Ovis aries: one gene and its partner. The protein of the gene in region 2 purifies or fractionates together with the protein of the main gene of each other region. This does not show direct contact. Links are inferred from orthologs where the notes say so. Each region holds a gene or a part of one and is shown on either strand. Other genes may lie near its edges.

Region 1 (3,820 bases), on a different chromosome or scaffold from region 2:
CTGCCCCAATACAAAGCTGTCTAATAAACAATACAGTGGCACCTCAGCACAGAAAACCCCAGCAAGCAGAGGCTGGCCTCCTTTGCTGACAGGTGAAGCTGTCCCGGAAAGGCAACGAAATCAGGCTTCACCCAGGTGCACCTCAAGCACTGAGGCCAATGCACACCAAATAAAAACAAAGGAGCCCTTTCTCACGTGTAAGCATCATCTTGTCTCATTAGAAGGAAGGCCTGCAAACACAGGACATTTTGTTATTCAACTGCTTTTCCCCCCAAGTACATGATACTCTGAGAGCCAAGGTATTTTGTTCTATATTTATTTGTAAGCGGGGCCATCCCCTGACACTGCTGAGGCAGTTGTTGTTGTTCAGTCACTAAGTCATACCTGACTCTGCAACCCCATGAACTGCAGCACGCCAGGCTTCCCTGTCCTTCACCATCTCCTGGAATTTGCTCAAATTCATGTCCACTGATGCCATCCGACCATCTCGTCCTCTGTCGTCCCCTTCTCCTCCTGCCCTCAATCTTTCCCAGCATCAGGGTCTTTTCCAATGAGTCAGCTCTTCACATCAGGTGGCCAAAGTATTGGAGTTGCAGCATCAGTCCTTCTAGCGAATATTCAGGGTCAATTTCCTTTAAGATTGACTGGTGTGACCTCCTTGCTGAGGCAGTTGGTGTCACCAAAGAGCCACTGGATCAGGACAGACACCTGGCTTCCACTACCAGCTCTGCCATCATCATCACGTGCCTCTGATTACCCAACCCCCCCCACCCCCTGAACCTTTCCTTCTTATCTGCAAAAGGAAGGCCACAACCACAAAATCTTGGTCTTCCTTAGCAGACAATCATAAATCAAAACAAATGCCCAGGGTTAGTTATTACTTTAAAAACCACTCCTCTGATGGGGGAGGAGTGAGTCTTTCTGAAAGACATACACTTCTGCTCATCCATTCATATTTAATATCAGAAGGCACACCTACACTGTACATCTGCCTGTTGAGACTATTTTATATTCAGAAAACGATGCTGCTGCCCCAAATTTACTGTGAAAAGTGGGTAAGTCTCATCTACTGACAACCGTGCTTAAATATGTCATGGGCAACGAAATCAAGAGGTAAAAAAGAAGTCAACTTTAAAAAGGGAATAAAAAACATCAACTGCCCTTGATTTCAACAGAAAAACGCAAACCACATGAATCCAAGGAATGCTGAAATGCCAATATCCTGGGTCCCCCTCCCTGACCAGTGAGCTACAGTGCAGAAGGTTTGGGGACCAGAGCCAGACAAGCAGGATCTACATCTTGGTTTTGTCACCGGCCAGCTTCGTGAGCCTATGGCCACCGGAGTCATTCTGGTACAACAGGGTAACAACAATACATTCCACGCTGGGCAGATAACAGAAATTACATGAGATAATATGGGTGCAGACCCAGCACAGAGATCCTCAACAAATGTTGGCTCCCACCCTCCTGATTCCTCCTGGATAATAACCTGATTCGAGAGTCCGAATCAGGTCTTGCAGCCTCAGAGAGAAATACACAGGGGGACAGCCAGTGTGGGTGCACCCTAATGAGAGAACCCAGAGGATGCAGGGAACAAGAGTCTGCAGAAATCATGAGATAATGAAACACCTTGTATCTTTCCAAAGAGGTGAGTCATTTTCTTTCAGGTGTCAAATGAATAGCCAAATGTATCACAATCAAAATTCGTCAGGAAAAAAGTCAGCCAGATACCCATTTCAAATGAGGAGTAGCTTCTAATGATGCCTCAGAGGCCCTGGTGACAGTCTCCTGATACTTGAAGGATTAACACACACTCCCCCACACCTCCTCCACAAATACAAAAGGCACTGCTGAATCCAGAAGTCCTAATGAGCTCAAAGTTTATTTCATTTCTAAAATACATTTAAACTCAAACCCATCGCTTACATCTCCTTAATTCTGAAATCCAATTCTCAGTTTGGGCACTCTACCAGCATCTTTTCAAAAGTTGGACTCTGGAAAATAAATGCACTCTCAGACAGAAGGGGGGAAAAACCCATCAGACATGCACAAAACTTGCACCCTTGAATACATTCCAATTTCCTCAGCCTTCATCTCCCTTAGCTTTTCACAATCAGTAAAGTGCAGTTACCAATCATTGGAAATGACATGAGCTTAATGTCAGAAATCATTTAGCTTAAATAAGAAAATAACTCCATTTAGCTTTCTCCCACAAAGTAAAATTAAGTTTGTTTAGCCTTTTTTTAATTTATTGCCAAAGGGCAGATTTAATTTCAAGGGAGTGAAAACCCAACTCATTCTCAAGTAAAGTCTGATGTTACCACTTTAATTTTGCTCTAACTATTGAGGCACAAAGGCTGTAAGCATTAAACTAAAGAGGCATTAATTATGGAAAAACAATAGGTGAGTGGGACCCACCGAGCTTTTTAATCAGAGGGTAGGGAGCTGGGGGGAGATGCCTACCATCTTCCTTTGCTATACTGTAAACACAAGCTTGAAGAGATCCCACTGAGTCTAGGGAGCCTTTTCAGCCCACCCTTTAGGCCTTCATTCTCAAGAACTTACCAGATACGTTAATCGAGGCCCCTGCATCAATGATCCCACTGTTGGGCCTCACGCAGTACCTACGTGGTGCTGTGGTCTTCACTTTAAAACACACATTTCGATCTGTCGGGTTGCCAAGCTTCAGGTTGGTGGTGACAACATCGGTGAAAGGACCTGCAGAATGAGACAGGGACTGGTTGGGGATCCCATGAGGACCATGCGGAGGAAAGACTGATTTATGGTATGGGGTCAGGACGGATGTGGAACGTGGTTGACTCATGATCATTTCATCATGACACACAGGAGAGATGGGCTGAGGCCAACACACTAACAGTGACAGCTAAAATCCACCACGGTCTCGTCATACCACCAGGCACCTGGGCTAGTGAGCATTCCAGCAGACAGGGTCTCCCTGATACCTCACAACTTTACTGCCAGACAAGAACACTGAGGCTTGGGAGAACATACCACTTGCCTAAAATTTTCATGGTAGTTAGTGGTAGCGAGGGTCTGCAACCAAGCAGCCTGAGTCCAAGGCCAGCTCTTAACCTATGCTGAACACTGATTCCCACAGTAACCAAATGAAATCTAACACAGAGAAGGTAAAGGACTAGACTTGGGTCCAAAATGATGATCAAAGGCAGCAGATTCAAGAAAGACTTCGAGGTGTTAGTGGTCTGTAAACATAACCCCCCAACAAACAATACAGTGATGCTACAGCAAGGTCAGAGTCCTGCAGGGCAGCCCACACCTAAAATAGCGCGTTCACTTTTAACTACCCAGGGTATTGGAAGATTGAAACAAAGCTCAGTGCCCTAAGGGTATTTTTTATTATTATTTATTCATTTTCTACTTTATTAGATTTTTTTAATTAAAAAAGTAAAACATGCTTCTTAAAACAAGCCAAACAATAAAAGATGTATAAAGAGGAAGTTAATAAGCTTTCCCCTGTCCCTTGAGGTAACTAATATTAACACTGTGGGAGATCCATCCGCATCATCTATGCTTACACAAACTGTACATACATACAGGAGTGTGTGAGTGTGTGTGTGTGTGTGTCAGGGGGAGGGGGGGTAACAAAAATGAAATCATACTACTCACAGTACTCTGAAACTTCCCTGAAACCTGACCCGTAAGGTTTACAAAGGAGTCAGGTGGGAGGGTTGAACTATAATGTCTCTTAGGTCCTTTTCAACCCCTTTTCAAATTTACATTTTTTCATTGTGTACAGCAACGGTGTCTTTGTGCATCTTCCAGGCAAGCTCTTTACTCCTAT
Region 2 (3,820 bases):
CATTATTAAGGACTGAAGTTCTTAGCTCTTTCCAGTAACATTATTCTTACCTTTGGGAGTAGCAGCTACTTACCTGAAGGAGTAGGATAGGTACTGAGAGAAGAGAGCTCTTCTCTACTCTTGTTACAGGTGTGAATTCAGGGGAGAGAGATCTTCTGTAAGTGGCTGCTTTCTTTGGCAGCTGTCTTGGTCATTTATCTAACTTTGTGTCTCCTTCAGGTACTGCACTATCTGGCAGTCCAGAAGCCGGCAGACCTTGCTCGGCACCTGTTACCCTGTGTAATCCATGCAGCTGTACTCAAGGTAAAGGAAGAAGGTAAATGTCTTATTTGATTAGTCATTAGTTCATTTCCAAAATGAAGGTAGACTTTGCCTAACTTTTCTAATGATGGCTTTGATCTTTTTAAAAACAGAAAGTCTAGAAAACATTTCTTCAGTGAAGAAGATTATAAAGCAGATAATATCCCATTCCAGTAAAGTTTTGCACTTCCCCAATCCAGAAGACAAGAAATTGGAAGTAAGTCTGATCTTGTCAAATGTTCTTCCCAGTTGGCAGTAATTTTTTAAAAAATGCTTTGCTTTCTTTTGCCTTTTTCCAATGTATGCTTCTCCCCTTTTGCACTATTAGGAAATCATCCATCAAATTACTAATGTAGAAGCTATAATTGCCAGAGCCCGCTCACTGAAAGCCAAGTTTGGAACTGAGAAATGTGAACAAGAAGAGGAAAAGGAAGATCTTGAAAGGTAATAGCTATCTGACTAACTCATCTTTGTCTCCCGTAGGAAAAGCCACTCTTTAGAAAATTTTCATAGAGTGTTGAGATTCCTTTGTAGTGCTCCCATATTATTTGTAACAAGCGTTAGTTAGAGACAGAGAAATATTTGTTTATTATAGGATTGACCTCTCTTGTATTTGTGAGTACTTGTCACTTGTTTCTGTTCCTCCCACTTTAAGAATGAAGTCTTCCAAGTCTTCTAGGAATGTCCTTGTTTGCTCTTGGAGCAGTTGCCTCTGGAGGAACTGGCTGTTCATATTCACTCTTGTTACTGGAAACTTTGCTTCCCACTCTCACTGTTCTTAACTATAGGCAGACGTGTCCTGAAACTATTTCTGCTCAACATTCCTACTTAACAGTTCTAAACAAGAGTTGTGATAGCAAATGTGCATATCTCTGTCCCTTGTGAATATGTTTTGAAAGAGTGAGCAGATGGCCTTTCCAGGATGAGGCAAATGACTGGGTCAGTCTTTTCCTCCTTCTGAGATTTGGACCATTTCAAAGGGGGGCTGTCAGCACACACCCCTGTCCATTTTTGCCCGAGATACTTGAAAGGATGATGTTGTTTTAATAGATGAGAAAGTGTTTCCAGATTAGCTACTTCAACGGGTTGAATTTGTTATAACTAAAATTTTCATCAGCCTTTCCAAGAGAAATAGTGTTATTGATGTTAAATAATTAGTATTATATGACAAGGCATTTGCTACAGCCTTTAACAAGTTCTTGTTTGAATATTATGTCTTTTGTTGAGTGAAGTTTTCTCCCAGCCTTCTTTGCTCTTGAATATTCCTTCCTTTTAAATGAGGAGAATACACTCTAATCAAAGGAAGTTTCTAAAATAGCAGTTCGAGTTAGCGAGCAGGTGGTGTGAGCTTGGTGGCTCTGTGTCCTCGACTCTCTTAGTTCCACCATACGTTGTCTGTGGTACACTTGAACGATGAATGCTTCCAGCACATAATGGCACAGTTTACAGCTGAGACTGTGCCCAGCAAAACATATTTTAAGTGCATGTGTGCCTGCGCATGCACACACACACACCTCTTAAAAGAACAAAAATGAAACACAAGGATCATTGCTTTGCTGTCTAAATTAAATGTGGTTTTTGTTGTTAAAACATTTAAAAAAATCTTCCTTAGTATAACATTGTCTAAGCTTGTAGTCTAAAAGAAATAGACTATTTCATCTTACACTTTGACAGAGATGGGCTTTTTGAAAAAATTTATTAAAAGAGTTGAAAGGCATGAAGGTTGTCATTTGAGTTGATTTTAATTCCAAATGTTGATCTATCCTGTTAAATTTTCACTCCAGCCTTGATATGATTTTCACCAATATGATTTTGAGGGTTTGTCCCCAAAATTAATCAGGGAGGACTGACCCAGTGTGAACTGAGCAGCTCCTTTTCCATCCGTTCATTCCCTCTTTCTCCCAGGTTTGTGAGTTGCCTTCTGGAACAACCCGAGGTGTTAGTCATCGGTGCAGGCAGAGGACACGCTGGCAGGATCATTCACAAGCTGTTTGTGAATGCTCAGAGGGTATGTGAGATTCCTTCTTGACCGTGTCATGCTCTCTCCAGGCCTCTGCTCAGTAAGGTACTGTTTTGATTCCCACAGATGAAGCTGCTAAAAGCACTGGATTCAAACATTGAAGAAATAATGACTCTCTCAACAGTGACTTCTTTGTCTTTGAAATCCATCTGCTCTTTTACACATTTAAATAAAATGATAAGTTTATTTCTGAAATTTGTACCTAAATTTCAGAAGTTAGAATGGTCTGAAATTCCTTGTTAAAGAATCTGATAAGAGACTTGGTTAGCAATGACCAGTGCAGTGGTGTGGAAAAAATGTTTACCACTGTCAAATTAGAATAGAGTTTAATTTTACCAGTTTTAAACTCCATGTACTGCAAGTGGATTCACAACTTAGCTTGTGAAATTGCAAATTGTAACTATTTTTATAACGGTGAAAAGATCTAACTTCAAAGTTTTCCTCGGAAAGATTTTTAGGACAGTGGAAACAGGCTTCAGCATAGAAAAAAAAAAGCCCAATTTGAAAACTTTTCTGTCATTACCTTTATTGATGAAAGGAAATGTTTAAAAATTATATAGTACCTTCTGACATTCTAAACTATTAAGATTTGAATTTTTTACAAGGTTGATATTATACTCTATGTTGACTCTTTCTGTATAAATGTTTACTGGTTGTTTACTGATTCAGAGGTGCTGGCTTTTTGCACATGAGTCTCACATTAGGACTTCTTAAAGATTCTGATAAAAGTATTTTGAAGCATAGTAAACACAGGGTGCCCCTTATGCAGTACTGTGATGACGCTTAGAATGGCCCAGTTTTGGAAGTTTAATTTTCACAGTCAAATAAGGAAAAGGACTTTCATGGGTTTATCCATGAAAAAGAAACTTCATAACCTCCTTTGAGTCAGTTTGGAGTGTATCTGGTTACTATATTCAAAATCATAACCAGATATGTTCATCTGAATTTTTAGCAAGAACTGAAACCTGAGATTATTTATGGGATGGCAAACTAAATTTAAGGATTTCAAGTTAAAAACCAAGTATTTTATTTCCTTATAAATTTCTAGAAAACAGTAGATACTTAATTCAACTTATTATGTTTCTGACTCTGGTATGAAACAAGAATCAGGTTTGTTTCACATCCTGTAATATCTTTGCCAGTTTACTAGCCAGAACCTTACAAACGTATTTCCTTGTTAACACTAATATGAATTTTCCTCATACTGCAGAGATTCTTTTCTTAATGTTTAAAACTTGTTTGTTAAGAAGATGTAAAAATCTAAAGAGATTTTTAATGCTAAGAGTAGAACACTCTCATTGTTGTAAATAGTTAAGCAAAATTACCTTCCCCAATGTGGAGATAATCTTTTCCCCCAAGATTGTAAGCAAGTTCTTACTGTTGTAAAAATTTGGATAATACAGAGAATTAAAAAGAAAAATTAATGACCCTAAAAAAATTAATCACACTAATCTCACTACCCACTGATGATCACTGTCAACATTTAACATCTGGTAGATT

The links.
Region 1: the proteins of RAB3GAP1 (region 2) and VAPB purify together in Homo sapiens (affinity purification with mass spectrometry; 4 studies listed by BioGRID and IntAct, counting the BioPlex papers as one, with this or other methods). This does not show direct contact. The link is inferred for Ovis aries from reciprocal best matches to the Homo sapiens genes RAB3GAP1 and VAPB.

The regions. Positions count from the first base shown.
Region 1 is NC_056066.1:57,626,620-57,630,439, forward strand, and holds part of VAPB (vesicle-associated membrane protein-associated protein B/C), read right to left. Parts: intron 2,719-3,820; coding exon 2,566-2,718; intron 1-2,565. UniProt on the Homo sapiens protein: Endoplasmic reticulum (ER)-anchored protein that mediates the formation of contact sites between the ER and endosomes via interaction with FFAT motif-containing proteins such as STARD3 or WDR44.
Region 2 is NC_056055.1:175,592,210-175,596,029, reverse strand, and holds part of RAB3GAP1 (rab3 GTPase-activating protein catalytic subunit), read left to right. Parts: intron 1-219; coding exon 220-316; intron 317-413; coding exon 414-517; intron 518-628; coding exon 629-744; intron 745-2,205; coding exon 2,206-2,308; intron 2,309-3,820. UniProt on the Homo sapiens protein: Catalytic subunit of the Rab3 GTPase-activating (Rab3GAP) complex composed of RAB3GAP1 and RAB3GAP2, which has GTPase-activating protein (GAP) activity towards various Rab3 subfamily members (RAB3A, RAB3B, RAB3C and RAB3D), RAB5A and RAB43, and guanine nucleotide exchange factor (GEF) activity towards RAB18.